3 linked regions of the Diceros bicornis minor genome follow. The protein of the gene in region 2 interacts with the protein of the main gene of each other region in a pairwise test. Links are inferred from orthologs where the notes say so. Each region holds a gene or a part of one and is shown on either strand. Other genes may lie near its edges. The genes, in order: SFXN3, CREB3 and flavin-containing monooxygenase 3.

What was found.
Region 1: the proteins of CREB3 (region 2) and SFXN3 interact in a two-hybrid assay, tested with the Homo sapiens proteins (2 studies listed by BioGRID and IntAct). The two-hybrid records come from large-scale screens. The link is inferred for Diceros bicornis minor from reciprocal best matches to the Homo sapiens genes CREB3 and SFXN3.
Region 3: the proteins of CREB3 (region 2) and flavin-containing monooxygenase 3 interact in binary tests that used the Homo sapiens proteins (3 or more experiments, as listed by UniProt). The two-hybrid records come from large-scale screens. The link is inferred for Diceros bicornis minor from reciprocal best matches to the Homo sapiens genes CREB3 and FMO3.

Annotation. Positions count from the first base shown.
Region 1 is NC_080745.1:66,218,996-66,229,228, reverse strand, and holds the start of SFXN3 (sideroflexin-3), read right to left. Parts: upstream 4,360-10,233; 5' UTR 4,156-4,359; intron 3,792-4,155; exon of another isoform or gene 3,220-3,791; intron 1,976-3,219; 5' UTR 1,973-1,975; coding exon 1,812-1,972; intron 1,156-1,811; coding exon 981-1,155; intron 628-980; coding exon of another isoform or gene 624-627; coding exon 529-623; intron 158-528; coding exon 82-157; intron 1-81. UniProt on the Homo sapiens protein: Mitochondrial serine transporter that mediates transport of serine into mitochondria, an important step of the one-carbon metabolism pathway.
Region 2 is NC_080767.1:4,151,050-4,161,282, reverse strand, and holds CREB3 (cyclic AMP-responsive element-binding protein 3), read right to left. Parts: upstream 6,600-10,233; 5' UTR 6,408-6,599; coding exon 6,270-6,407; intron 6,166-6,269; coding exon 6,018-6,165; intron 5,942-6,017; coding exon 5,874-5,941; intron 5,760-5,873; coding exon 5,670-5,759; intron 4,580-5,669; coding exon 4,473-4,579; intron 4,341-4,472; coding exon 4,272-4,340; intron 3,647-4,271; coding exon 3,562-3,646; intron 3,465-3,561; coding exon 3,380-3,464; intron 3,301-3,379; coding exon 2,927-3,300; 3' UTR 2,713-2,926; downstream 1-2,712. Other genes in the region: GBA2 (non-lysosomal glucosylceramidase), read left to right, coding at 1-77, 315-419, 619-726, 828-979, 1,094-1,200, 1,336-1,478, 1,558-1,673, 1,773-1,964 and 1 more. UniProt on the Homo sapiens protein: Endoplasmic reticulum (ER)-bound sequence-specific transcription factor that directly binds DNA and activates transcription. Plays a role in the unfolded protein response (UPR), promoting cell survival versus ER stress-induced apoptotic cell death.
Region 3 is NC_080743.1:94,802,677-94,812,909, forward strand, and holds the start of flavin-containing monooxygenase 3, read right to left. Parts: upstream 5,959-10,233; coding exon 5,827-5,958; intron 1-5,826. UniProt on the Homo sapiens protein: Essential hepatic enzyme that catalyzes the oxygenation of a wide variety of nitrogen- and sulfur-containing compounds including drugs as well as dietary compounds.

The sequences.
Region 1 (10,233 bases), on a different chromosome or scaffold from region 2:
AGGTCAGGTGGTGGGGTGATGGGGAAGAAGGAGGTGGATAAAGGGTGAATGGGGTTGCAGTGGAAGGGGGGGGGCATTTACCTTTGTGAGGGATTTGAGTCCCAGGGCCGTGGCCACAGCCCCAGTGGTGGCACTCACATAAGCTGTTCCCAGCTGCCTGTGGGTGGAAGAGGCAGGACACAAGGGGAGAGGTGAACAGTTCAGTATGTGGTTCTTTCTTTCAGGGACATGCCAAATCCTCAACACATGAGGCGTGGGAGGGTGGCCTTATTGCAGAGAAATACCTCCCAGGCTCCAGTGTAGACTTGTCTGGAAGCCCCAATCCCTCCCCTTGAAGAAGAGTGAGTCCCCAAAGGACACACGAGAGGAACCCATGCCCTCAGTTAGGCCAGGAAAGTGGGGAAGGGGGGCAGGCTGAGAGGAGGGCGCTGAGCCACTGGCTGCACGGGCCCTCTGAGAACAGGAGCAAAAGGGAGAGAGCAGTGCTGGGCAAGGAGGGGAGAAGCGTCCCTGGGGACGGGCTCTCACCTCACAGTGATGGGAGCGTCGCCACTGCGGTTGGAGTAGTTAACAACAGCATTGAAGGACTGATTCACCCACTGCCAGAACACCACAGTTGGGGTCTTCCTGAGGGAACAAGGACACTTACTTCTGCCTCCTCTACAATGTCCCTCATCCTTGGACCCAGATAATGAAACCCCAAAGGTTAATCCCAAACACTCAGGAGGGACCCAGTCAATGACCCAAGAACCTGCTCTGGTGACCCCTGCATGACCCTCCTCACTTACACAAACACAGCCACTGTCTCTGGGTTGGGAGGACCCCCCAGGGCTGAGTTCTGAGGAATGGAAGGGATTCTGACACAAGATCTCACCCACTCACTATTTTTTGCCCAAACTGGCCCAGAAAGGAAGCACCTAGTCATCAAGCCACACTCGGGCTAAGACAGAGCGCTCAGGGAGGGGACACCGGGACAGGACCTGCCTGTAGAAGGTGAGCATGCAGCCAGTGATGGTCATGTTCATGGGCACCTGAGCTGACATGCGGCCAATCAGGACCACCTTCTCCCCCGTGTCCGGATGGAAGGCAGAGTCATACACATACTTGGCCCTCCACAGCTTGTCCTCGGTGAGCCCTGGAGTCACCACGCCGGCCCTGCAGAGTTTGGCAGGGAGCAGACAGGCAATTCTAGAGGGCAGATCTGCCCTCCCAAGCCCTGCCCACTCAGCTCAGGGGAAGTCTGGGCAGAGGACCAGGCACTCTGGCCCCCAATCTTAGAATAAAGGGGCTCCTTGTCTCTGGGGGAGAGTCAAAGCTTCCCAGAAAGTGTGGGGGGGGGCCCTATTTCTATTTCCCTTCTAGCCACACAAAGAGGGGTGCCCTTCTGTTTCTGCCTAAGTGCTGCGTCATGGGTACTGGTGGTTTCCAATGGGTCAAAAATGGCTGAGGGCATTGCAAGGGTTTTTCCTCCTGGAGACAAAGGGGATGGCCTCCTACCTTGTTGAGACTCAATTTTGAGCCCCTCTGTCCTTGCAGAGGGTGGCCCAGCAATGGGATAGGTCTCTATAGAGGGTCTGTGAGGCACAGAGCAGCGCCCCCCCCATAACTATCAATGCCACACCCTAAAATCCTTTGGGTTAAAACTCTGTGCCACAGCTATCTGTGATTCCAGCAGACAGGGCCAGGGAGTGAGGGGACTGATGAGTAGGACAGGCTCACTCTCAAGCTTGGGGAGGCAGGTACAAAAGGTACTGTATTAATGGCAGGGAATGAGACCGTGGGGTACAGGGTCAGATGGGGTAGGGAGTCACCTGTAGTTCTGCACAATGTTCCGGGAAGCTTCCAGCTGTGCCCCAGACAGCAGCAGATTTCGGGGGTCGGTAACAGTGAAGAAGTGCCGGGCTCTGCCCAGGAATGTGCTTTGGTCCCAGCGAGGTTCTTGGATGTTGATATCTAAGGGCAATTCACCCATTTTCTGCAGAGCAGGGACCAGAGTGAGAGGACTCCAAGGAGGGGGTCCAAGGGCTCCACTTGGGGGAGAATTTGGTGGCCCTGCCCTGGTCCCTGGGCCTATTGCCAATCCCTTCTAGAGCTCAAAGTGACTCCAGATAGGTAAGCAAGGGTTGGGGGAGGAGCTGTTTTCTAGGCATTGTCTTGGCCCAGGCATCTGTAGCCACTGGGGGAGGGGGCGAGGAGAACAGAACCACAAAAATAGATCATCTTATGCTGTGGCCTGGTGCAGATTTTCATGAGTGAGGATTTATATGTGTGTCGTCGATGCATGAGCAGCACCTAATCCTATGCAGTTACTCTTGTGCTCTGTATGCACAAAAATGCATTCTATATGCATCACACATCTCTGTTCCTGTCAGCTTTAGGCCCCAGCTGCCTTGAGACCTAGATACAAACCCCTAAGGCTGTCTGGGAAGATAGTATACGCCATCCCACACCCCAGCCCCTGATTGGAGGAGAGCAAGATCTCATTGGCCTCTCTAGGGCTTATCTATTCCAGATCTCAAACAGGGGACTCTGATGCCAGCCGTGTGAGAGTGTGTGTGTGTGTGTGTGTGTTCATGGGCATGCACAAGACCCACCTTCCTCAACCCCCACTGAAGGCTCAAGGCTCTCCTTGTTCCCCAGCTGGGCAGGGCTGGCACAGACACTCATCTACCTCTCCCTGAGCTACCTGCTTCCAGAAAGGAGCAGGATTCAGTAAGTGCCCCCTCCAGCCAGCACAGAGAGCCTGGAGCAGCCATCTGGCTGCACTGGGCAAAATCCTACAGAATGACTAATCCTCTCCAACCACACTTCCTCCCTCACAGGCAGACACACCCTCCCTTCTCTCACACACTCACAATCACATACCCACACACAAAGACACCATCACACAGCCCTACATAGACATACAAACAGGGTGGACACGCCCTGCATACAGTGGCCCACAAAGACTTACTTGCACGCACAAACACACACACACAGCCCATATCCATCAGATGCAGACGCTTGAATGTGTGACCACTCAGAGCCCCACCCTGACATTCCTCCCCGCTACCAACTTCCTCTTATGTCCCTTGAACCTCCTTAGAGCCAAAGATGCTGAATGGGACAGGACAGAGAGCACCCTTCAAGGCAGGCCTCCCTCTCCGACTCCCAGCCCTCAACTCCCTACTCCCCTGACCCCCGAACCCGCCCGAACCCGCCCGGGGCAGCAGGACTCACGCGCTCCTGGGCTCCTGGGCTCCCGGCCTCTGCAGCTCTCAGATCTGCCTTCTTCTTCGCGCATCACCCCCGCCCTCCAACCCATCACGCGTAACGTCACGCGTGACGCTAACCAGCAGGAGGGGCGGGGGCTCCCCTGGCACGTCCGCCCGGTGTGCCCCGGATTGGCAGAGTCCGGGGGCGGCGGGTGTCGTTTGGGGCGACGCCCCCAGCCCCGGCTACTGGGACTCAGCCTCACGCTGCCTCCCAGAGCCAATAGGGGCTCAGGGATCAGTTCTGGCCGGATTCCCAGCGGGAGAGAGGAGGGGAGGAGCCGCGGGTGCTGCCCGCTTTGCTTGCAGTCCCCTGGCTGGCCTCGGGAGGCACCCGGCCTCTGCAGCAAGGGGTCTAGGTATCCAGGGCGAAGGCGGGCGGCGTGGAGAGGCTATCGCTCTGGTGGTGCGCTCGGAGGGACTCGAGTTACTTCCCGGCTTGTTTACTTGACGGCTACCTTGGCAGTGGCCTCCGCCTACTTGGCCCCCTGGGCGCCTATCCCGGTTCCCACAAGCTCCTCTCGCAGCACCTCGGCGTTCGCACCCCTTCACAGTCCCGTTTCCTCTTGCTTGTGCCCCTTCTATGTCCCCAGCCCTTTCCTCCTCCCCAGGCCCCTCCTTACTCGCCTCTGAAACCCCTAGCTCCTCTGGGTCCCCAGTTTCCTTGTGCTTCCAATCCCTACCTCTGCACCACAGACCCTAGCCCCAGTCCTTGCCCTGCGATGTGAAGGGACAGAAGGCTCCAGCAAGTGAATCAGAAAGAATCTTCCGCCCCCTAGTGTTCTGGGACCAACTGCCCCGCCCTGCGTCCTTTCCAGGACTGGCTGTCCACACACTTTCTGACATAGAAGGGGGATGCATGTGAAGAAGGCAAAGCTCAGCCACACAAACACTCACAACTCACCCAGTCACCGTACAGAGCACAGCTGCTGCACACCCAGACCCCAGTCCACGCTCCTGCCCACCGCAGGCTCAGGCCCGCTCTGCCCAGGTGACACTCCCTCACTGAGGCCTCAGGGGTGACCGCGGAGGTGTGGCAATTCCATGAGCCCTGGGAGCTGCCTTGGCCTGGAGAAGACGGGGTTCTGGGCTTTCCCTGCGCTGAGTTCGCGGGGCAGGGTGGGGCATCAGAACTCGAACTGTAGCGGATATAACTCAGCTGCCGCAGCCTAGGTGACAAACAGCTGTCCTGGGCGCCCAAGGGAGGTGGCAGGAGAGAGTGACTGGCGGCCTTCCCAGCCAATGGGAGCCCGGGGCTGCGCAGGCCAGCCCTGTTCCTGCAGCCTCGGCGGAGCGTGGGCGGGGTTCCCAGGCTTCTGCAGTCACTCGCGCCCGCGGGCGGGCGAGGCCGGCGGCTGCCGCACACGCGAGCAGGTGAGGGGGACCGAGCTTGAGAGGTGGGGGCCGGGAGGACGGAGCCGGGGGTAGGATGCTGCATTCTGGGTCCCAGAGCTGCTCTGGGGTATTTGGCCCCAGGTTTTACGATGGATGTCGTGGGGCTTTCGTCAGCAGGTCCTCACCCGCAAGCCTGGGAGAGATTCACGCAACCTTTTTAGATAGGAGAGGAAGAGGGACGAAGGGGACAGCAGCCTGGGGCCTGGGGACCTCTGGGGGCCAGGGAATCTCTGGGGCCCTGGGAATCTCTGGGGGCCTTGGCTACAGCTGTCCCAGGCCCTGAAGCCCTGCCCTTGAGTCCCGCGCCCCAGGAGCTGGCCCCCTACCCACATACACAGGAGAGGTGGTGCAGTGAACTCTCCTGGCCCCACTTTCTCTCACACCGCTTGAAGCCCTAGGGCCCTCAGTTATCCCATCTCCACTCTCTCAACCTCTACTGAGGCCCAGGGACGGGAGTAGATGACTCAGCTGAGAGCAGGAAGGAGAGGTGAATGAGAGGTTCCCACCTGCTTTGTTGTATAAATAGCTCCAAAAGTCCACGATGGTGCCTGGATTGGGGGTTTCTCTGGCCAAGGATGGGAGAGGTGAGGGGCCTAAGGCATGGGAGGTCAGGATGCTCAAACTAGGGGGAAGGGTGAAAATTCTGGGGGGCAGCCTTCACACCCCTCCCCCAATCCTTGCTCTCCCTGCGCAGGCCTGGAGCACACACTCCCAAGAGGCAGCGGAGGTGGAGGGCTTCGGGTCACTGAGACCCCAGTGCCGCACAGAAGGCTCATGGAGCTCGGAGCACGCCGGGCCTTCCTCTTGAGAGCTAGCAGGTTCCTTCTGGACCTGTAGGGCGCCATCCCAGTCTAGCCACCATGGCGCGCGGTTTTGCAGTAGGCTTCGACCCCCTGGGCCTCGGAGACCTAAGCTCTGGCTCTCTGAGCTCCCTCTCCTCCCGAGGCCACCTGGGCAGCGACTCGGGCTCCGCAACGCGATACCTGCTGAGGAAGAAGCGGCGGCTGCTTAATGGGCCCCCCCGTGGAATCCGAGCCTCATCGCCCATGGGCAGAGTCATCCTCATCAACTCCCCCATCGAAGGTGGGAGCGGGGCCCTGCCATGGTCCTGGGAGCTGAGGGGGTGGGTAGGGGACAGCGGGTGCCAAGTAGGAGGAGGCAGAGCCAATATGAGTGGGGGAACTCAAGAGATGGGAGTCATAGGGATGGGGGGCGCCTGGAGACCCATACTCTCTTCCTCATCTATCCTTTTCGCACTTTCAGGCTAATCCTTTAGAGTTCCAGGATCATAGAGAGGTCAGAGGTGGGAGATAGGGGCATGGAGGGAGGTATGTGTGGTATGCTAGCCCCCAAGTGAGCAAGGCAGGATATTGAATTGGCCCCTCCCTCCCATGGACTCTGCCTTTCTCCAAACCCATTTGTGGATGCCTTTGGGGGTGGGGCAGGATGGAGAAGGACATCCTCCATCAAGCAGCCCACTGTGTGACCAGCTCTGTGCTGGGCTGTGAGGTGTCAGTGCCCAGTTAGGCAGAGAGAATTAAAGGCTTCAGGTGCAGAAGGAAGGAAATAGAGGTAGAGCAGCAAATGAGGGAGGAGAAGAGGAGGGTAGAGGGTCAGGGAGGGAGCCCCATGGCTGGGCCCTGAAGGAGGGGGACACCTAATCTTATGCAGTTGCTTAATGCTGTTTCATTGCACAGCTATTTTATGCCAGCGCTAGTTAGGTCCTACAGGGGACCTAGAGAGAAATAAGGCTCAATCTTCACCTTCCAGAAGTTTACAGTGTAGCAGGGCTTAGAGACAGAACAATAACAGCTGGTGGTGGGGTGGAGGTGTCGCAGACAAAGGTTGGAGGTGGAAAGCACGGAGCACGGTGGGGGGGGGGCGGGCGGGGCACTTAGGAGACAGCTTGGCTATAGTGACAGATGTGAGGCGACAAAGAGCCGGTGAGCAAGGCAAGACCTTGAATGCCACTGGGGGAGCGGGGGCCCCCTGGGCCTTGGCTTTCTGTGAGCAGGACCAGATAAATATCTCCAGCTCCCCTTCTCTCTCTCAGCCAGCAGAGCTTCCCTGGCTGGATCCTAGACTGGAATTTTCAGACCCTGCTCCTCCCCTCTGACCCAGCTGGGCATCTCTGTTCCCCTACCCGGGCCACTGGGGCAGGGGTGGAGCATGTTGCTCAGGGAGCAGACTTTCCTGCACCTGGTGGCCCAGCGTGCTCACCCTCATCATCCACCATGCTTGGCCTCACCCTCAGGTGAGCAGCAGGGCGCTGCTGAGGGTCACCACTGTCATTCTGGTCATGGAGCAGAAGTCCCCAGAGGAGCTAGGAGACATGGAGGGGAGGGGGAAGACCCTGCAGCCCTGCCCCTATGAGTCCCATTGTATTCAAAGAACTATGCTCTACCTCACCTCACACACCCACAGGCACTGTGCTGGCTATGGTGCAAGGGCTATGTCCACTGTCCCTCTAAAGATCCTCTTCCAGAAGTTCCATGATTGCTCTGTCCCTCTGCCTCACTCTAGTGCCCTGGTGCAGCCAGGGGAGCAGCATCTTCTAGCAATGGAAGTACTGGGGCATTGTTCTGACCAGCTGGCCCCTAGCCTGTCTGGGCTGGGAGCCTCTGAATCCTCCCCTCTGCCTGATTACAAACATCTCCCAACTCACTGCAGCCTGCAACCCCTCTCCTATGTTATTATTGAGACCATTCCAGAGGCTGAAAGTAACTGAAAAGGAGACACAGTGGGAAGGGGAAGACTGCCACCCACATCACCCCCATGAGGTCCCACCAGCTCCTCAAACTCAACTGGTCCCAGAGAAAATGCATTATCTTTAATCCGAACCAGCCCTTTCTCCTCACTCTCCTAGCTCCTTGTTTATTCATTCATTCATCCATTTGTTCTTTTATTTATTCAAAAAATACTTAGCAAATATTAAGCACTGTGCAATATACTGGGGATATGTTGGTGGAAAGGAATTCCAAAGTCCCTACCCTGACTGAGCTTCCAGTCTAGTGAAAGGAGACAGATACTAAATAATAATATGAATAAGCAAATAATGAGCAAGGATGGTAAGAATCTTGAAGGTACTAATTTGGATGATATGATAGAGTAGTGGTTCTCAGACTTTAGAATACATCAGAATTGCCTGGGGGGCTTGTTAAAGACAGATTGCTGGGTCCTCCACCCAGAACTTCTGACTCAGTGGGTCTTTGGTAAAGCCTGAGAATTCACATTTTAGTATGTTTCCAGGTGCTGCTGATGCTGTTGGTCTGGGGACCACACTTTGAGAACCACTCTAACAGAGATGATGTGGGAGGAGGGGGAAGGGACTTTCTTAGGTAGCGTTCTAGGAAGGCTTCTCTGAGAAAGTGGTATCTGAGTCAGGAGGGACTGAGGCCTAGGAGCCGGCTTTCTGAATGTCTGGGCAAGATATTGCAGGCAGAGAGAAAGGACATGGCCTGCGGGAGGAACAGGAAGGAGGTCAGTGTGGCCAAAGCTCAGTGAGGCCAGGGAGATGAGGGTAGAGAGGGGCACAGAGGAAAGCCCATGGAGGGCCTTGTTAGGCATGGGGGGAGTGTGGAGTTCCTTCTAGAAGCAGGGGCAGGCATTAAAGTTTTTCGTCAGAGGAAAGGCATGGTATGTTATAAAGGCTGACTCTGGCCATTGTGTAAAGGATGGATTAAAGGGGGCAAGAGCAGAAGTGGAGAGATAGTAAGGAGGCAACAGAGTGCCTGGAGGGAGAGCTTGGTGGCCCAGGCTAGGGCAGTGGAGGTAGAGAAGGTTCCATCCTCAGAGGCCCCAAGCTCCTAGGCTCAAAACCCCAGATTTGGCATCCCCTGGCCCAGGGCCCTAGGAAGGCCCAGGGAGGGACTGAGGAGAAAGAGCGTTGGCAGGGGGGAGAGCAAAAGTCTCCCTAGCTGGGCCGAAAAGGTCCTGAGGCCTGTGCAGACAGAATCAGCCAGGAAGCCCCAGGATCTCCCCCGTCTCTCCTGTATCATCCCTGCCCACAGGCTCCCCTTGGGGACTTCTTCCTGAGCCACCCTGGTCATGCACTGTAACCTGATTTCTCTTAGATCAAAGAGACGTGTATGTGTATGTGTGTGGGTGTGTGTGATTTCTCCCTCTCAAACACAGCTAGAGTAAGCCTTGCCCAGGAAGAAATCTCACCTTCTCACCCGGAAGCCAACTTACCCCTCCAGCCTTCTCACTTTTCTCTAAGCAAAAGGCCTCCTCATGGAGCCACCTCTGAGCCCTTGCTCCCTCCATCCTCATCAGTGCCCTCCCCTTCCCCTCCCCCATCCAAATCCCACCCATCTTAGTCTTCCAAGAAACCTTCCCTGACAGCTCCAGCCACTAGGGACCCCCTTCCCCTGACTTGCCCCAGTACTGACTGAGAGGACTGCTCTGGGCTCTGGGTATGTACCGCAGCATGGTGGTGTTTTGGGTTTCTGTCCTCGTGTAGTCAGGTAGCTCCTACATTCCTCACCCCCAGAATCCCAGAGTCTAGGAGATAAAAGGGTCCTCAGGGATCCTTCCACAACATCCCAGACAGGGATTTACCAAGTCTCAGCTTGTATGCCTCCAAAGATGGGGTACTCACTCTCTGTCCTGGAAAATTCATTCCATTGTCTGACAGCTGGTTTTAGAAAGTTTTCTCTGAGTAAATCTGCCTCCATCTCACTCCACTATGTGGGCTTGGTTCTGCCCTCCGGCTTACACAGACAAAAACATCTAATGCCTTTCACAGAATAGCTCTTCAACTATTTGAAGATAGAATGAACATACTCATTTCTGCTGCAAGCTGAAGAGCACAGACTCCCTCAACTGTGCTCTAGAGAGCGGAGTCTTGAACCTCTTTTCTATCCATCTGACCCTCAGAGTGGCAGGATTTTTAGGAATTTGGCCTATTCCAGGCCTGTGGGCATGGGAAGTTTAGTAAGCATTGGATACACACACATACACACACACATACCCCTATATTATGAGGGAAGGAGAACAGTGTCTTCTAGCATGGAGTCCTGTCCTACCTGCTTCTGCACCATCCTTGGCCATGGTCTCAAGATCACCCAGAGAGGACTCAGAAATTGGCTCCCCCGCCCCATTTAGGGCCCTAGGTGCCTGTGCCCAGCAACCCAGCCTTTGCAGGACCCAAGCTGGGGAACCCAGGGTGCCCTCTGTGCCCAGAATGGGCATGGAAGTCATGCCTGTGTCTCCCCCCCACAGCCAACAGTGATGAGAGCGACATCATCCATGCAGTCCGGGTGGAGAAGAGTCCAGCAGGGAGGCTGGGGTTCAGTGTGCGGGGCGGCTCTGAGCATGGCCTGGGTATCTTCGTCAGCAAGGTGGAGGAGGGGAGCAGTGCAGGTGAGCGGGGCCCCCAGGGGTGAGGTCCTGGCTTAGGATGTGACCCCCACCCCAGTGGGGTGTGGGAGTGCTGTTGTCAGGGATGGGAGGAAAGGGTCCTCAGATTTGGAGGGCTTGAGCCAATGGAGAGAAAGGGCTCCCTCCCAGGGCGGAGTGGGCTAATGGACCGGTCCCTAGTCTAATAGCGAATACTCAGCCCCTAGCTGGGGATCTCCAGTCTCAT
Region 2 (10,233 bases):
ACCAGAGGAGCTAGCAGGGAGCATGTGTCACCTTCACCCCATCCTACGAGAGTACGGCCGATTTGGCTACCTTGAAGGTACAGGCTGCTGGTGGGCTGAGGTTTGGCAGGCCGTATCATGAGGCGAGTTAGTGCCCTACCACAAGGCAGGATGATGGGTTTTGCCTACCCCCGGGTGCTGGTTGGGATGAGGGGGTTAGTGGCAGGTGGAGTGGTGACAGTGCCCCACCCCCAACTCTAAAGGACAAGCTAAGGAGGAGAGTATGAACAGGAAACAGGAATCCTGTCAACAATGTGTCTCCCTCATTCCTCCAGGCCAGGAATATCGCATGTACAACACATATGATGTCCACTTTTACGCTTCCTTTGCCCTCATCATGCTCTGGCCCAAACTCGAGCTCAGCCTGCAGTATGACATGGGTGAGGGTCCCTTTTGTGCCCTTCTGTCCTCTTAGCTCCCCATACCGCTGAATGTTTGTGGTCCCTCAGACTGTCTCTTTCCCCCTTCCCCCCAACCATATCTGCATCTTGCTTACTAGTTTCCCTCTGAGGTCACACAAACAGCTCTGTGCCCCACTCCAGGCCTGCCCACCCCTCATTTGTGTGTCTGCTCCCCCAGCTCTGGCCACTCTTGGAGAGGACCTGACAAGGCGACGGTACCTGATGAGTGGAGTAATGGCACCTGTGAAAAGGAGGAACGTCATCCCCCATGATATTGGGGACCCAGGTAAAAGTCCCTCCACCTCAGAGTCAGCTTCCCTCCCTCAACTTTGCGCCCTCTACACTACCCACCAATGCAAATGAACCAGGTCTCCTCCCCTCCCACAGATGATGAGCCATGGCTCCGGGTCAATGCATATTTGATCCATGATACTGCTGACTGGAAGGACCTGAACTTGAAGTTTGTGCTGCAGATTTATCGGGATTATCACCTGACGGGTGACCAGGGCTTCCTGAGAGACATGTGGCCTGTGTGTCTGGTAAGGGGTGCATGTGCAGTGGCCAGTGTGCCAGGGGCAGGACTGGTGCTTGGGGAGAGCCCAGCTGGCTATTATTGTCTTTCCTTAGTCTTCAGTATCTTGGTCCCTCTCTAGGCCGTGATGGAGTCTGAAATGAAGTTTGACAAGGACCAAGATGGACTCATTGAGAATGGAGGCTATGCAGATCAGACCTATGATGGATGGGTCACCACAGGCCCCAGGTTGGGGGGTAGGGATTTCCATGGGACCTGAGATGGGGAATTGGGCACCAAGGGACTGTGGGCTCAAGGCTTATTATATTGCATGGGAGTGGCCGGAGCTGCCAGTATGACCCCCAAACCCATGTCCCTGATCAGTGCTTACTGTGGAGGACTGTGGCTGGCAGCTGTGGCTGTGATGGTCCGGATGGCTGCTCTGTGTGGGGCACAGGACGTCCAGGATAGGTTTTCTTCCATCCTCAGCCGGGGCCAAGAAGCATATGAGAGACTGCTGTGGAACGGTGAGTTGGAGGGTCCTGAGGAGTCTTAAAGCAGCCATGGGGATGCAAGGAGCCTTACTTTGCCCTTCCTCTACTCCAGGCCGCTATTACAATTATGATTGCAGCTCTCACCCTCAGTCTCGTAGCATCATGTCTGACCAGTGTGCTGGCCAGTGGTTCCTGAGGGCCTGTGGCCTAGGAGAAGGAGACACTGAGGTGAGAGAGACTAGAAGGAGGAACCAGAGAGAAAGGTGGGTTTTCTTTGGAGGTGGGAAGCAAGTATAAGAGACTTGTTTCTGTCCTTGCCCCTTCTAGGTATTTCCTATCCCACACGTAGTCCGTGCTCTCCAAACTATCTTCGAGCTCAATGTCCAGGCCTTTGCAGGAGGGGCCATGGGGGCTGTGAATGGGATGCAGCCCCATGGTGTCCCTGATAGAACCAGTGTCCAGTCTGATGAAGTCTGGGTGGGTGTGGTCTATGGACTGGCAGCCACCATGATCCAGGAGGTAATGTGCTCCCTTCCCCATCTCTCCACCATCTATACCTTGGCCCAGCAAACTTCCTCAGCTGTCACACTTCTGTACGGCCTAACCCATCCCATCTGATCCATCTAGAAAGCCTCGGCCTTTTCCCTGGCCGGCATTCCATCTCCTGCCTTCAGGATTCTCCCTGTACTAGCTAGGAGCTCCCCGAGGGCAGAGATCCTATTGTCTCCATCTCTCCAGCTGACCTGAGGTCAGGGGTTGTCAAGTAATATGACTGCCATCTCTCCCTACAGGGCCTGACTTGGGAGGGCTTCCGGACAGCGGAAGGCTGCTACCGTACCGTCTGGGAGCGCCTGGGCCTGGCCTTCCAAACTCCTGAGGCATACTGCCAGCAGCAGGTGTACCGCTCGCTGGCCTACATGCGGCCATTGAGCATCTGGGCCATGCAGCTGGCCCTGCAGCAGCAGCAGCAGCATAAAAAAGCCTCAAGGCCAAAAGCCGAACAGGGTACAGGACTAAGCACAGGGCCTAAATTTGGACCAAAGGAAGCCATGGCAAACCTGAGCCTAGAGTGAGCTCTCTGAACTGTGGGAGGGAGGCACTAACAGTCCATTCTCCAACCTGGCCTTCCCTCTGGCCCCTGGCCCCCCACCCCCCACCCGCACCCTCCCCAGTCTCCTGCATCCCTGAGCCACCAGGACAATCATATCCCTTTCCCTTCTCCCCACCCAACTGCGCCAGTAAAGAGGGGTTGAGGTTGACCCAGGCATCAGAATCACTTATTTATTTCTTTCCTCACTCCTTTCGCTCACTGCATGAAATGTTCAAGGAGGTCAGTTGATTCCCCCAGGCCCATTCGTGGAGTGATAGACATACATGGGTACAAATAAAAGACCCAGAAAGCCAGTTAAGTGTGGTGTGTTTGAGCCCTCAGGCTTCCTGACAGGGCACAGGAGCTGAGGCTAGCCCTCTCCCACTCCTTTTTATTTGGACACAGACTGGGGGCCCCAGGCTCTTGCTGAGGTCCCCCACATCCTCACATCTAGCCTAAGTATGGGCCCTGCAAGATGACAGGTGTGGGGCTGTGAGTAGGAAGTCATCCCCCCTCCCGTGCGATTTGTGTGCAGAGGAAAGATAGGACCTGGACAGGGGGACTTTGAGAAGGGGTCAGGGAGTGGCAACTTCAGGGGAGGCTCTGCGCCAAGAGCCTGAAGCACGTGGTAGAACAGGCAGCAAGAGTTGCCAGGAGCTTGGAGCACGTGGTCTGAGCTGTCCTTTGGTGCCTCTGACTGCAGGGCAGGCGGCTCCAGCTGGTGAGGGTCCTCACTGGGGAGGGCACGAAGCTGGCGGGACAACACTGAGAAGACAAAGACTCTTTAGAGGCAAGCCAGGCTTCTCCCCTAGCCCGCCCTTAATGGTATCCTCAAGCCTCTCACCTCCACGCTCAGCTGGCAGGCTCCCCCTTGTGTCAGAAGAGTACATAGCAGGTACGAGGAGGAGACAGAAGGAGAACAGTAGGACCTGGAGTACAGGAAACAGGAGGTGATGAAGGGCTCTTGATTGCATCCCTGTCCCTGCTGCCTGAGAAGAGGATCTCTCCTTCCATCAGCATCCTCACCAGAACACAGGTGCTGCTGCTGCTGGTTTTGTTTGATATCTGAATCATCATGGCCTGGAGTCTCCTCAGCTGATCCAGAAGAGACCTAGGGGAAGAGGGCAGTGAGCAGCCCCTGGCCTGGCACCCTGAGATACAGTGAAACCCTCCTGTTAAGGCCACTCCCTCCGTCTGTGCACTGGATCCTCTCTTACTTTTTGCAAATGACTTCTCTCTGTGGACAAAATGCCTGAAGTTCCTCATTAAAATATCCCTCTGCTCTGGCGTGACTTAAAACTCTTTTGCACATACCTTCAGTACTTCCTACACTGCCCCATCAGCTATGCACATAATTCTCACCAGGCATTCTATGTTCTCTTCCTTCTGACTCCACTCATGTTAAAGAGTTCCAGTCAGACTGGACTATGCTGTGGTCTCTACCTAGAATACTCTCAACACCCCCACAAGAATCCTATCTGCTATTAAATACCATCTGCCCCATGAGGTCTTTCTTACTCTTTCTCCTCTCTCTTTCTTGGTACTTATCATTAGTTACTTGTGAATTTACTCGCCATTACTGTGAGCTGCTTGGAATTAGAGACCCAGTAAGGGCCAACCACCAGACCTTGCATGTGGGAGCTGCCCAGTTAGAAATCAAGTGTGGAGCAAAGGAAAAAGTGAGACAGCGCCAAATAGGAGGGATGAGAAGGGACTGATGTTGCAGAGCTGCTTACAGATTCTGTTCCTCCAGGAGCTGTACTCTGTTCTGTAGCTCCAGATTCTGGGCTGTGTATTTCAAGACCCTAGGGGAATAACAGGGATGTGGGGATGTGGCCTGTATCCTCCCTTCAAAAACCTAACACTTGCAATACTTTTGGAAGGTATTGGAACTCCAATTCCAATACCCCACCACCGAGTCCCTCTCCCGTTTATACCTGTTCTCTAAACCCCCCACATACACCTTCTTCTTCCTGCGGCTCTCCTGAGCAGACTTTTTGTTTCGAATCTTCCTCCGTACTCGTTTCAGAACTTGTTCTTCCATCTGAGAGAAGGCAGGAAAAGTTATCATCAGAGGAACACTGGACCAAAGAGTTGGAATGCAACTGAGTTCAATCTTCTTCCCAGTGCAGGAATCCCTTCTACAGCTTCTCTGACAAACAGGCACTTGGCTTCTGTCTGAATGCCTCCAAGGACCAGGTGTTAATGCCCTCATAGGCCGGACCCTTTTAATAATTTTAATTAAAAAAAAAAAAAACCTTCCTTATCCTGAGCCAACATCTGCCTCTCTAATTTCTAGCCTTTGGACTTACCTAGTACCTAATCTCTGGGGCCATATAGAACAAATGATCTTGAGCTATTTTAAGGCGCTTGACATTTCTTCAGAGTCAAAAAAAATCTGGGCAAAATTTTTAACTCGTCATCTTATCAGTATGGACTGCATCCGTTTAATATCTGTCAAAGATCTGGGTTCAAAACTAAACACTCAGATGTGCTCTGGCCAGTATAAAGAAGAGAGATAGTCACTGCCCTTCTAGAGGCAACACCTCTATTGATTACAGCCTCCAAACCCCATTCACTTTCTTAGTAGCCATATCACATTGCTGACTCATCTTGTACTTTTAAGAAATTAAAATTCTCTTAACCTTTCTGTCAGTGAATGTCGATTTCATCACAGTGTCACAATATTGTGCTTGTGAAGTTGCCATTTGTTGCTTGAAACTTAAAGCTCAGAATTTTACATTTATTCCTGTTATATTGCTTGGTCCAGCCTTGATAAACTCTCTAAAACTTAATTCTACCATTCAACAAGAGGTGGATTACCACGAAGCCAGTGAAATGTGTCAGGGCCCCTCACTTGCACAGTCCTTTCCAATGCCCTATACTAATGTTGCACTGATAATGTGGAATTCTTTTTTCTTAAAGAAAACACCAAAATTTTTATAAGCCCCACAAAACCAGGAGCAGCTCTTGCATCCAGCATATTAACTACATGCACCAGCTTCCTATTAGCAGGGAATTTGCTAAATTTCTCACCTCAGTCCTTTTTCAAGTTACTGATATAAAATTAACAGAATTGGCCTACTTGGGGCTCAACTTCCTTTGCTGCCTTGCTCCACCAATGGGAGTCTTACCTTAGTGAGAGGAAGTGTCCCAGGCAGAGTAAGCCCCTCCTTCTCCAACAGCCTCTTCTCCTCATCTGTCAGTATCAGCCTAGCAATCTCCTGGGGTTCCAGGGAGGTGGCAGCAAAGTTGCAAGGCAATATCAGAGAGGAATGGGGAATCCTACCTCCACCCATGCAATGTGGGAATATTCCTCCGTAAATCAAATCAAGTACCTGCTCTGCTGGCTCCTCTACATGCAATGGAGTCATCTGGGCCCCCTCTTTTCCATAGCTCCCGCTATCTGCAAAAGAGAAAATATGAATAGCCAAGCCCATCAGTCCTCTCCTCTCCCAAAACTTCTCTTACTTCAGACTCACCTAGATCTATGGAAATATGTTCCTGTGGTACAGAGTAGGTGTGATCATGGTGGACAGGACAGGAGTTAGAAGAGTTGAGAACGTTCAACGACGCTGGGGGACTCAGCAGAGAGCTCAGGAAATCCTCGGCCTCCCAATCCCTCAGTACCTGCACAGGGTTCAAATTAACAGGCCTTGACCTATCACCACCCCCTGCCTCAAGGACGCCCCCCTCCCCGCCCCGCGCCTCCCCGACTCGGAGCCCGTACCCACCTCAGAAAGCGGCAGCTCCCAGTCTAGCGGAGCCTCCACGGCCTCGTGGATCGCCGCCCCCAAATCTCCGCTTTCCTCTAGCAGGAAGTCCAGCAGGTCTTGGTCACCCGGGTCCGACGGCAGCTCCATATGGGACATCTACGGAAAGGATGCGTAGAAACACAGGGGTTCGCCCCTCCACCTGGCCCCAACCCCGAACCCCATGCAAGACACTCCCCTAACGTCAGTCCGTCTTCAACCGGGCTTGCCCCGGAGCTGCTAGCCGACGCTCTCAAAGGGGACACGCCTCCTGAACTCAAGTCTCCCCGGCTTCCAACACAACGGAAGTGACGCCCATGCCCCCAAGGCATTCTGGGACACGGAGTTCCCCTAGTGCGGAAGTGGCGCCACGTCCCGGGAGCCATGCAAATCGAGGGGGCGGGCATTCTGCTGCTTCCTCACAGCCTGAGGGCGGGCATTCTGGGATGCGGCTCCGCCTTCGCCCCAAGCTAGAAAAAGGAAGGATTCGAGCCTAAAAGGGAACTGGGGCGTCTTCTCCGGATCGCGCCGCAGCCTTGCTTCCTGCCAGGGAGGGCCTGCGGGTCTTCGGAGGGTTCCCGAGCATCGAGAGCTGGGGCCAGAGCAGCTTCCTTCAGTCCCCGAAACCATAGAGCGCGGGCACAGGGCGCCGCCCGCGGGTGGGGGACGCTCCGGGGACGGAAGTGGCCGCCGGAGTGTCGAAGGGAGGGCGAGGCCGGAGCCCGAGAGCCACCGGGAGGACGAGCGAGCCCGGTAGCGGGCCGGCGGGCGGGGCACAGAGCCGGGCAGCGCAGGTAGGCCGGACTGGGCCCAGCCGGAACCTCAGGATGGGGCCGGGAGGCGGGCGGGCGGGGCCCCGACCCTCCTGCGTCTCCTCCTGCGGGTCCTGTTGGAGAGGTCAGCGGCCAGTGTATCTCGGTTTGGGCTCGGAGTTAAGTAGGCCGTTTTGCGGGAGCCAGCCCCCTCCTGGGAGCAGTCCTCGGCCTGGGATAGGTTTTGGGGAGGGCGAGGAGTGGGGTGGTAGTGAGGCGCAGGGCGGGGATCGGCTTTGAGGATCAGCGGGTATGTGGATAGGAAAGCTTTGGGTGAGTTTGGGATTAGGTGGAGTTCGGTTTAGGACTCAAGGTTAGTTTTAGGAGGTATGAAGCCGGGGTTAAAATTTAGTGTTATTAGTGTGAGTCAGGTCCGTTTTATGTAGGTGAAGTTTGGATTACGGTCATTATTTTGTTTTTTAGGGTGGCCAAGATAAGTCAAAGTTACGGTTCAGGGTCAGGTTAGAGGTCAATAACAGGAATTAGGTTGGAAGTCTAGTTTTAGGGATAAGAGAACGTTGGCATAGTCAGTATTAGGGATAAAAAGTGAAGAGGTGGGTCAGGAATCAAGTGGCAAATGAGCTTTAGACCTAGGGGTCAACATTTAGGGTTAAGGTCAGGGGCTTTGGTGCTTTTTAGCACCATTTAAAGGTAAATATTAGAAATCAGGGATTGGATACAGGTGTCTGCTAGGAAAGGGGTGAATGTCAAAGCCAGTACTGGGAAACAGGAAACACATTAGGGTTGGGGTTAGTGTTAGGAATTAGGGGCAGTTTTAGGGGTTGTGGTTGAGGTCAGGATAGTGGATCTCGGACACGTGAAATTTAAGATTAGTGGTAGGTAGAGGCCCTGTTTTGCGAGGAGGTCTCTCATTTCTGTGTAGTCGCAGGGGCTTCTTTGGCCCAGAGAAATGACAGACTATTTTCAGGCTAGGGTTCTGGGTTTCAGCTAGAATTGCAGGCATCTGGGACTCCAGCTGCTTTATTCTACTCTCTAAGCCCAAGGCTCTTGCTGTGGCCACAACAGTTGAGGGGCAGAGGTTCGTGGACTATGTTGTTTACAAGATAGGAGGTGGGAAAGGGACAGGGACCCAGGAGATGTGTAAGGCCTAGTCCTGAGTAGGGGACTGCCTAGAGGAAAGGGGACTGGTGACTAAGGGGGAAGCAGACCAAGAAAACACTGTTGCCACAGGAGCGGGGGATGACTGATCCTCTGAAAGTTCAGCCCCATTGCTTCCCATTCTCCTCATTCTCTCAATGTTAAGCTCTCCACTCCAGCTCTCCTCCCTGGCCCTGCATTTCACACCCTTCTTGCATACCCCCTTACAGAATGCTTCCCTTGTCTTTAACTCTCTCATGTTCTTCATTTTGCCATGTGTTCCCAGCCTCAGTTTTGCCTCTCTTCCCACCCCTTAATCCGCACACATCCTACCTTAATTTACTGTCGCCCAACTCTGAGCTTTCCCATCATCTTAAAGCACTCTCCCACCATTTTCACCCGCTCATCTACCTGAATACCTCCTGATCATCTGCTGAATACTCCAGCCCCAGCCCAACACAACTGCCAAGTACTTCCGATGCCTGCTGTGTTCCATCCCTGATTCTAAGCCTTAATTTCTTGGTCCACTTGTAGATCCCCTTCCCCCACTCCCCTGACAGAAAAGAGGAAATGAGACCCAAAGAGGAAACTGGGTCTTGCTGATCCCACGCCCAGCCAGGCCACTGACCACACCCCCATTTCACTCCCAGCCTGACCCTGCCACTGACCACAGCACTATCCCCTACCGAGCCTGACCCAGCCACTGGCTGCACCCCATGCACCACCCCCAACTCCAGCTTTACTTAGACACTGCTGGTGTCCCTTCACTCTTTGCCCATCCCATCCTAATTTAGCCACTGACCACAGCTCCCTCTCTTCTCAGTCTCGTAGCCTGACCTGGCTTCTGACCTCACTGCATCATTCCCTGACTTAGCCACTGTCCACATAATTATTCTTCCGTTTCCCCCAGCCTGATCTAGTGACTGATCATATATGTATTTTTCCTACCATCTTCCCCAGCCTTTCTCTACACCTCATCTTCCCCATTTCCAGCCCAATGCAGTCACTGACCTCATCCCTTCTGCCCCTCTACCTGGTACTAACCACATCCCCATCCCTTTTTCCCTCAGCCTAACCACATCTCCTAACCACAGCCTCATCTTCACATTCCCAGCTTGTCCTTATACTTTCTTTCCCCCCTTCCCAATTCCTGACCTAAACTCAAGCTGCCCAGCCACTGAGTGACTGCTGATGACAAGAAGCTATGGGACCCCAGCCTGACTTTGGGCCCTGGTCCCTGAGGGTTGACAGGACAGACTGTCATCAGTTCCTATCAGTTCTACCTCTTAAAATTTCTGATGAGTGACATCCTCTCCACCCTTCTAACTCTGGCTTCATTACCCCTCACTTCTGCTAATGCAGTATCCTTCTAACTAATCTCCAAGGTAACTGCCAGAGTTATTTTCCTAAAATCTGGTTCTGGTTATGTCCCGTCTCTGCTGAAAGCCTCCCTTGGCCTCCTGTTGCCCCCTAGTAGGTATCATTCCTCATACTCTCCCTAGTTCTCACCAGCCTTTCCATCCTCATCTTAACTTCCCCATCACTGCTCCCTTGCAGGTATGCTGCGCTTCAACCAGCCTGCCTCTCACTTCCCTGAATGCTCCTCCACGATTGATTTCCTGCTTCTCCACCTTTGCTTATGCTATTCTCTCTGCCTGGAATGCTACCCCTGACTCAGCTCCAGCTGGCCTAGTGGAGAGAGCTTGGGCTTTGGAGTCAGAGAGACCTGGGTTCGGATCCTGTCTTCACACCTCATTAGCTGTGTGACTTTGGACAAGCACCTTGAACAAGTGTTTAACTTCTTTGAGCCTCAGTTTCCTTATCTGTAAAAATGGAGATAATGACACCTACCTTGCAGGGTTGTTGTAAGGATTAAATGAAATTATGTATACAAAGCAATTGACATATAGTCAATAAAAGATTGTTAGTATTTCTTATTATCTTTACTTTTTAAAATCCTAACTTCAAATGACACTTTTCATGGAGACTTTTTGGTCCCCTTTTCATCTAAAGGGATCTCTCCCCTGAGCACACAC
Region 3 (10,233 bases), on a different chromosome or scaffold from region 2:
CCACATAGTCTAAGGGATTGTTTGCACATAGCATTGGTCAAAACAAACTCTACAGATGCAGAAAAAGTTATAAGAAATGAGTGAAGTGAGCCAAAAATGAATATGGTGAAACAGAGAATTCAAATTCAGTCTAAAAGGGGCCAGTTATTACTATGAGTATGAAGAGATCCACTGTTGCCTGATCTTCTGATTTTTCCAAAGAAAACAGATCTCTAGAATTTTACATGAAATATTTTGATTTTAAAATATTGGATCGAAATTTTAAGAACTGTATAGGTCAAATAAAATAGATCATCTATAGTATAAAAAGAACCAGTTTGCTAACTCTAAAATATGTAAACACTGTGGATTTTTATCTAGTAATTTTGTGATCATTCACTTCATTGTATTCCTATTATTTGCAACAATTTTCCAATTGATGTCCTTGGATTTTCTTGGTATAAAACCATATAGTAAGCATATGATCATTTTTCCTCTTTTCCTTTTTTCTCTTTTTTTTACTGTCAGTTGCTTGTCTTATTGATTTGGCTCAAACTTCTAGAACATTAATTAATAGGTCATTAAGAGAAAAGTTTAAAATTTCGTGGTGGCAGTGTTTCCCTTCTTCAATTTGTTACAACATTCTATTTTATTGTATTGTTAGCAGAGAATTTCATCTTATTTATATATATTTTTTCAAGATTATTGAGGATTTTTGGTTAAAAAATCAGTTTTAGAAATGTTCCATGGGCACTTGAAAATAAGGCATGTTTCATCTTGTCAAAGTACAGGATTTGTTGAGTATCAACTAGTGACAGACCAAAGTGCAAGATGCTGTGGTTACTAAGGTACCATCTGGTCAAAAGTAACCAGGATCCTTAAGAAAAGAAAAGCCAAGGATAGCGGTTAAGTGCACGCGCTCTGCTGCTGGCGGCCGGGGTTCATATCCCGGGCGCACACCGACGCACCGCTTCTCCGGCCATGCTGAGGCTGCGTCCCATATGCAGCAACTAGAAGGATGTGCAACTATGACATACAGCTATCTACTGGGGCTTTGGGGAAAAAGAAAAAAAAGGAGGAGGATTGGCAATAGATGTTAGCTCAGAGCCGGCCTTCCTCAGCAAAAAAGAGGAGGATTAGCATGGATGTTAGCTCAGGGCTGATCTCCCTCACAAAAAAAAAAAAAAAAGAAAAGCCAAGAAAACATTAATCTAATTTTAAGATAACATTTTCAATTTTAAAGAGTCCATAAAACCTCAAATGGTGGTCTAAAGAAAACCATTTTTTTCCTTAAAGAAATTAGCATCATTTCCACCTAAAATGGTTTTCTCTCTGTAGAAGGGTCAAACTGTGGATTTCTACATATACTTGCTACTTCATAATGGAAAGCACTGAGCACTGGAAATTTCTAATTAGGGCTCATATAACTCAAAGTTGTCAAGGCCCCCAGAATATACATTTTTAGTATAATATTAGAATATTACAATCACATCAGTATCACTGGGCTGAAATTAAGGTGTCGACAGGGCCATATTCATTCCAGAGGTTCTAGGGGAGCATCCGTTCCTTCCCTCTTCCAGCTTCTGGTGGATGCCAGCATTCTTTGACTTTTTCAGCATCTAGAGGCCACCTGTATTCCTTGGCTAATGGCCCCTTCCTCCATCTTTAAGGCCACAGCATAGCATCTTCCAATCTCTCTCTCTTTTTGCTGAGGTGATCACATCGCCTTTTCTCTTCTGCTTCTGTCAAATCTCCCTCTGCCTTTCTCTTATAAGGATATATGTGATGGCATTTTAAGACCACTAGATAATCCAGGATGATTTCACCATCTCAAGATTCTTAACTTGATCATATTTGCAAATATCCTTTTTTCCTTTTTAGGTAACATTTACAGGTCTCAGGGATTAAGACCTGATATCTTTATTGGGAATGCATTGTTCAATTGTTTATCCTACTACAGTCCATTGTCTGGCCCCTAAAGATTCACGTCTATCCCACCTGCAAAATACATTCACCCCATCCTAACATTTCAAAGTCTAAATCCATTGCAGCATCAAATCAAGTCCTGAATCTCATCTATACATCCTCAGCTCAAAAGTCCCACAGCTCATCATCTAAATTATCTAAATCAGGTATGGATGAGACTCTGGGTATGATCCATCCTGGGAGAAAAGTCCTCTCCATCTGTGAACCCGTGAAACTAGAAAGCAAATTATCTTCTTCCAAAATACAGTGATGCGACAGGCATATGGTACCAGTTACAGATATTCCCATTCCAAAAGGGAAAAAATGGAAGGAAGAAAGGAGCTACCAGTCTCACGCAATGTTGAAATCCAGCAGGGTAAACTTCATTAGGTGTCACGACCTGGGAATAGCCCTCTGTGGCTCAAGGCTCCAGCCTCTGGGCTTGAGGTTCCCTGCTCTGGGCTCTTCTCTCTTTTTCTCCAAGGGTAGCACATGTTTGCGGCTGAGTGGTTTATCGATCTATGATGCCAGGTTCAAATTTGAAAGTATTCCTTGACCAGCAAGAGAGCAGCTGCTCTCAAAAGCCATATTAGCAGTGTCTATATTCAGTAATGTTTTGCAAAGTCAGTTTGAATATGAGGATTTGGTTAAGATCACTGTGTAGAAGAGCTGGCCAGCTCAATAGGCCACTTGTTGAAATGGCACCCAGCAGTTAACAAAGGGGTTAAGAATTCAGGCTGGAGAGAAAGGCCTGCTTGAATTGGGATCTTGTCTTCAGCATTTACCATTTTTAAATTTTCTTTTATTTTTATGTTTTTTTACCTTAGTTATTATTTTTTTTTAATTGCAGTAACATTGGTTTGTAACATTACACAAATTTCAGGTGTACATCATTATACTTCTATTTCTGCATAGATTACATCATGTTCACCACCAAAATACTAATTATAGTCCATCACCACACACATGTGCCTAATCATCCCTTTCGCCCTCCTCCCTCCCCCCTTCCCCTCTGGTAACCACCAATCCAATCTCTGTCTCTATGTGTTTGTTTATTGTTGTTATTATCTACTACTTAATGAAGGAAATCATACGGTATTTGACCTTCTCCCTCTGACTTATTTCACTTTGCATAATACCCTCAAGCTCCATCCATGTTGTCACACATGGCTGGATTTCATCGTTTCTTATGGCTGAGTGGTATTCCATTGTGTATATATACCACATCTTCTTCATCCATTCGTTCCTTGATGGGCACTTAGGTTACTTCCAAGTCTTGGCTATTGTGACTAACGCTGCAATGAACACAGGGGTGCATGTATCTTTACGCATTGGTGTTTGCTTGTTCTTTGGATAAATACCCAGCAGTGGAATAGCTGGATCATATGGTAGTTCTATCCTTAATTTTTTCAGGACTCTCCATACTGTTTTCCATAGTGGCTGCACCAGTTTGCACTCCTACCAGCAGTGTATGAGAGTTCCCTTCTCTCCACATCCTCTCCGACGGGTGTTGTTTCCTGTCTTGTTAATTATAGCCATTCTGATGGGCGTGAGGTGATATCTCATTGTAGTTTTGATTTGCATTTCCCTGATAGTTAATGATGTTGAACATCTTTTCATGTGTCTGTTGGCCATCTGTATATCTTCTTTGGAAAAATGTCTGTTCAGGTCTTTTGCACATTTTTCAATTAGGTTGTTGGTTTTTTTTTGTGTGTGTGTGTGAGGAAGATTAGCCCTGAGCTAACATCCGCCAATCCTCCTCTTTTTGCTGAGGAAGACTGGACCTGGGCTAACATCCATCCCCATCTTCCTCTACTTTATATGGGACGCTGCCACAGCATGGCTTGACAAGCGGTGCATTGGTGTGCACCCGGGATCCAAACTGGCGAACCAGGCCGCCGCAGCGGAGCGTGTGCACTTAACCGCTTGCGCCACCGGGCTGGCCCCTTGTTGGTTTTTTTTGTTGTTGAGATGTATGAGTTCTTTATATATTTTGGAGATTAACCCCTTATCAGATATATGGTTTGCAAATATCTTCTCCCAATTGTTAGGTTGCCTTTTTGTTCTGTTGATGGTTTCCTTTGCTGTGCATAAGTTTTTTAGTTTGATGTAGTCCCATTTGTTTATTTTTTCTATTGTTTCTCTTGCCTGGTCAGACATAGTGCTTGCAAATATGTTGCTGACACCAATGTCGAAGAGCGTGCTTCCTATGTTTTCTTCTAGAAGTTTCATGGTTTCAGGTCTTACCTTCAAGTCTTTAATCCATTTTGAGTTTATTTTTGTGTATGGTGTAAGATAATGGTCTACTTTCATTCTTTTGCATGTGACTGTCCAGTTTTCCCAACACGATTTGTTGAAGAGACTTTCCTTCCTGCATTGTATGTTCTTGGCTCCTTTGTCGAAAATTAGCTGTCCATAGATGTGTGAGTTTTAATTTTCTTTTTAAGCTTCAGATTCATTTGTAAAAAGGAAAACAGCATACCTGGCTTATAGGATTATTATAAAGATTGAATTAAATGGGAAAAGGTGTTTGGCATACAGGAAGTGCTCAATAAAATAGTCCCAAGAGTTATCAATATGCTGATTTGAAGCTTTGTCAGCATATTACCGTAACATATACTAGGCTCCATGACATTATACAAGATGCTGGGTGGTTTCAAGGGTTCTCAACAGTCTAGAAAATATTTATATTAACAAAATTCATATATCTTTGTAATGTTTAAAGAGCTGTCATAGACACTGTATCCCTAAATACAACCTTTTTATTGAGGTATAAAATATAATACTAATTTTGCATTTGAGGAGGAAATAGTGGCTTAAAAAGGACTATCGATCTTCCTAAATTTGCATATATATTAATAGTTTATCAGAAGAAGAAGAAGACAGATGGGCTAGGCTTTGCCAAATAGTGTTTCTAAGGTTGGAGACATGATGGAGTAGAGGGCACAGGGCAGCCCCTACCTATGCTGATGTGGTTGTCAGGCAACATTGGAAGTGATTTAATTGGTGCATGTAAGCATATTTGCTTATATCTATCATTGTTATTATTATCGTATTTATGTCTGCTTATAACTATCATCTTTGTTATGATAGAGACAAAAGGGCATTGAAGAGCTTCAGATCAGTGTGTCCTATTCTTGATTCCTTCTGTAGTTGTCTCATTAATTATGTGGTTTTTGCAAGACCAAAATCAGCACCTGAAACCTTAACATCTGTGGTCTGAGTCACTAAGAGGACCTCTAGTAACATCAACAAAAGAATGGAAAAAGCCATTGTTTTTTATTTTTTATTTTTATTTATTTATTTTTTTGTGTGAGGAGATCAGCCCCGTGCTAACATCTGCCAATCCTCCTTTTTTTGCCAAGGAAGACTGGCCCTGGGCTAACATCCGTGCCCATCTTCTTCCACTTTATATGGGAGGCCGCCACAGCATGGGTTGCCAAGCGGTGCGTCGGTGCGCGGCCGTGATCCAAACCGGCGAACCCCGGGCTGCCGCAGCGGAGCGCACGCACTTAACCACTTGCGCCACCCGGCTGGCCCCAGCCATTGTTTTTTAAATGTGTAACTCAAGCAATTATATTTTACATAAACCTAAGCAGTATTTCAAGGTGGGTTTTATCGCAGAGTGATTCACATATTAATGATTTATCAAGGGTGAATAATGTACACAGACACCTTCAAGGCTAGCATACCATCTCATTTACGTCTGAAGTAAGTAAGGGACAACTTTCCACCCTGCTTCTGATGTTGTGCTTCATAGATTCCAAACCTAGGAGGGATTCTAACCGCCATGACAGCTGGTTTGGAAGCCTGTGCTTAGACAATGTGTTCTCACCACTTCCCGCCTCACTTTCCAGTCTGTTGCAGTGACATCCCACTCACCGAGAATTTCCACAGGCCCCCAACGTCTTCGCTCCTCTCAAAGCAGGTTGGCTCCAGCCCCTCTTCCAGACAGCATCTGATGGAGGCCAAGCCACTGACACCAGCTCCGATGATGGCCACTCTCTTCCCCATGGTCACCTGTGCAAACACCCAGAGAACATTTCCAGCAGCAGTATTGCTGAAAACCTGTGTTTTTTTATATCACTCTTTGGAATAATAAGAAACTTTATTTTTGCACCAAGAAGGCAATATTTTTTTTTAAATTTTTTGTTTATTGCAGTAACGTTGGTTTATAACATTGTAAAAATTTCAGGTGTACATCATTATACTTCTATTTCTGCATAGATTACATCATGTTCACCACCAAAATACTAATTATAGTCCATCACCACACACATGTACCGAATTATCCCTTTCACCCTCCTCCCTCCCCTATTCCCCTCGGGTAATCACCAATCCAATCTCTGTCCCTATGTGTTTGTTTATTGTTGTTATTATCTACTACTTAATGAAGGAAATCATACGGTATTTGACCTTCTCCCTCTGACTTATTTAACTTTGCATTATACCCTCAATGTCCATCCATGTTGTCACAAATGGCTGGATTTCATCGTTTCTTATGGCTGAGTAGTATTCCATTGTGTATATATACCACAGCTTCTTTATCCATTCGTCCCTTGATGGGCACTTAGGTTGCTTCCAAGTCTTGGCTATTGTGAATAACGCTGCAATGAACATAGGGGTGCATGTACCTTTACAAATTGGTGTTTTCAAGTTCTTTGGATAAATACCCAACAGTGGAATAGCTGGATCACATGGTAGTTCTATCCTTGATTTTTTGAGGAATCTCCATACTGTTTTCCATAGTGGCTGCACCAGTTTGCACTCCCACCAGCAGTGTATGAGAGTTCCCTTCTCTCCACATCCTCTCCAACACATGTTGTTTCCTGTCTTGTTAATTATAGCCATTCTGGCGGGCGTGAGGTGATATCTCATTGTAGTTTTGATTTGCATTTCCCTGATAGTTAGTGATTTTTAACATCTTTTCATGTGTCTGTTGGCCATCTGTATATCTTCTTTGGAGAAATGTCTGTTCATGTCTTTTGCCCATTTTTTAATTGGGTTGGTAGTTTTGTTGTTGTTGAGATGCATAAGTTCTTTATATATTTTGGAGATTAAGCCCTTATCAGATGTATGGTTTGCAAATATCTTCTCCCAATTGTTAGGTTGTCTTTTCGTTTTGTTGATGGTTTCCTTTGCTGTGCAGAAGCTTTTTAGTTTGATATAGTCCCATTTGTTTATTTTTTCTATTGTTTCTCTTGCCCGGTCAGACATGGTGTTTGAAAAGATGTTGCTAAGACCGATGTCGCAGAGCGTACTGCCTATGTTTTCTTCTAGAAGTTTCATAGTTTCAGGTCTTAATTCAAGTCTTTAATCCACTTGGAGTTAACTTTTGTGTATGGTGTAAGGTAAGGGTCTACTTTCATTTTTTTTGCATGTGGCTATCCAGTTTTCCCAACACCATTTGAAAGAGACTTTCTTTTCCCCATTGTATGTTCTTGGCTCCTTTGTCAAAGATTAGCTGTCCATAGATGTGTGGGTTTATTTCTGGGCCTTCGATTCTATTCCATTGATCTGTGTGTCTGTTTTTGTGCCAGTACCATGCTGTTTTGGTTACTATAGCTTTGTAGTATATTTTGAAATCAGGGAGTGTGATACCTCCAGCTTTGTTCTTTTTTCTCAGGATTCCTTTAGCTATTCGGGGTCTTTTGTTGTTCCATATAAATTTTAGGATTCTTTGTTCTATTTCTGTGAAAAATGTTGTTGGAACTTTGATAGGGATTGCATTGAATCTATAGATGGCTTTAGGAAGTATGGACATCTTAACTATGTTAATTCTTCCAATCCAAGAGCACGGACTATCTTTCCATTTCTTTGTGTCTTCTTCAATTTCTTTCAGAAATGTTTTATAGTTTTCGGTGTACAGATCTTTCACCTCTTTGTTAAGTTTATTCCTAGGTATTTTATTCTTTTTGTTGCAATTGTAAATGGGATGGTATTCTTAATTTCTCTTTCTGCTACTTCGTTGTTAGTGTACAGAAATGCAACTGATTTTTGTATGTTGATTTTGTATCCTGCAACTTTACCATATTTGTTTATTACTTCTAAAAGTTTTCTGGTGGATTCTTTAGGGTTTTCTAGATATAAAATCATGTCATCTGCAAATAGTGACAGATTTACTTCTTCCTTTCCAATTTGGATCCCTTTTATTTCTTTCTCTTGCCTGATTGCTCTGGCTAGGACTTCCAGTACTATGTTAAATAGGAGTGGTGACAGTGGGCATCCTTGTCTGGTTCCTGTTCTTAGAGGGATAGCTTTCAGTTTTTCACCATTGAGGATGATATTAGCTGTGGGTTTGTCATATATGGTCTTTATTATGTTGAGGTACTTCCTTCTATACCCATTTTATTCAGAGTTTTTATCATAAATGGATGCTGTATCTTGTCAAATGCTTTCTCTGCATCTATTGAGATGATCATGTGATTTTTATTCTTCATTTTATTAATGTGGTGTATTACGTTGATTGATTTGCAAATGTTAAACCATCCCTGCATACCTGGAATAAATCCCACTTGATCATGGTGTATAATCTTTTTAACATATTGTTGTATGCGATTTGCTAGTATTTTGTTGAGGATTTTCGCATCGATGTTCATCAGTGATATTGGCCTGTAATTTTCTTTTTTTGTGTTGTCCTTGTCCGGTTTTGGTATCAGGGTAATGTCAGCTTCGTAGAATGAGTTAGGGAGATTTCCCCCCTCCTCAATTTTTTGGAAGAGTTTGAGAAGGATAGGTATTAAGTCTTCTTTGAATGTTGGGTAGAATTCACCAGGGAAGCCGTCTGGTCCTGGACTTTTATTTTTGGGGAGGTTTGTGATTACTGTTTCGATCTCCTTACTGGTGATTGGTCTATTCAAATTCTCTACTTCTTCTTGATCCAGTTTTGGAAGGTTGTATGATTCTAAGAATTTATCCATTTCTTCCAAATTGTCGAGTTGGTTGGCATATAGCTTTTCATAGTATTCTCTTATAATCTTTTGTATTTCTGAGGTGTCTGTTGTAACTTCTCCTCTTTCATTTCTGATTTTATTTATTTGTGCCTTCTCTCTTTTTTTCTTGGTGAGTCTAGCTAAAGGTTTGTCAATTTTGTTGATCTTTTCAAAGAACCAGCTCTTGGTTTTATTAATTTTTTCTATTGTTTTTTGGTCTCTATTTCATTTATTTCTGCTCTGATTTTTATTATTTCCCTTCTTCTACTGATTTTGGTCTTTGTTTGTTCTTCTTTTTCCAATTCCTTTAGGTGCATTGTTAGATTGTTTATTTGAGATTTTTCTTGTTTGTTGAGATAGGCCTGTATCGCTATATACTTCCCTCTTAGAACCGCTTTTGCTGTATCCCATAAATTCTGGCATGTCCTATTTTCATTTTCATTTGTCTCCAGGTATTTTTTGATTTCTTCTTTGATTTCTTCGTTAACCCAGTCGTTGTTCAGTAGCATTTTGTTTAATCTCCATGTATTTGTGGCTTTTCTGATTTTCTTCCTATAGTTGATTTCTAGTTTCATACTGTTGTGATCAGAAAAGATGCTTGGTATTATATCCATCTTCTTAAATTTATGGAGACTTGTTTTGTGGCCTAATACGTGATCAATCCTGGAGAATGTTCCATGTGCATTTGAAAAGAACGTGTATTCTTCGGTTTTTGGATGGAATGCTCTGTATATATCTACTAGGTCCATCTGTTCTAGTCTGTCCTTTAAGGCCAATGTTTCCTTATTGATCTTCTGTTTGGATGATCTATCCGTTGGTGTAAGTGGAGTGTTAAAGTCCCCTACTATTATTGTGTTACTGTCTATTTCTGTTTTTATGTCTGTTAATAATTGCTTTATATATTCAGGTGCACCTACATTGGGTGCGTAGATATTTACAAGTGTTATATCCTCTTGTTGGATTGTTCCCTTGATCATTATGTAATGCCCAAGAAGGCAATATTTTTAAAAAACTAGATTAGAACTCCTTTTAGTCATCTAACTACATTTTGCAGTTCTCTCTAACTTCTAAAGAGAGAATGTTTTCTTCCAAAAAAAAGAAGCACTTTATTTTTAGCCAACTCTGCAAAATTAAGACACTGACCATCCAGCATATATATTTATCTCTTTTCCTTTGGCCTTTTGTCAGTTACTTGCTACCAGAGAGAGTGAACAGGAGAAAGAAAAGGAGATTCCCAACTAAAACACATATACACTCACCTATACCCACAAACACATAGGTAAAAACGAATGAAGAAACAAATATATATGTGCACGTGTATACAGTTGTCCTTCCCTTATCCACGGTTTCGCAGTTG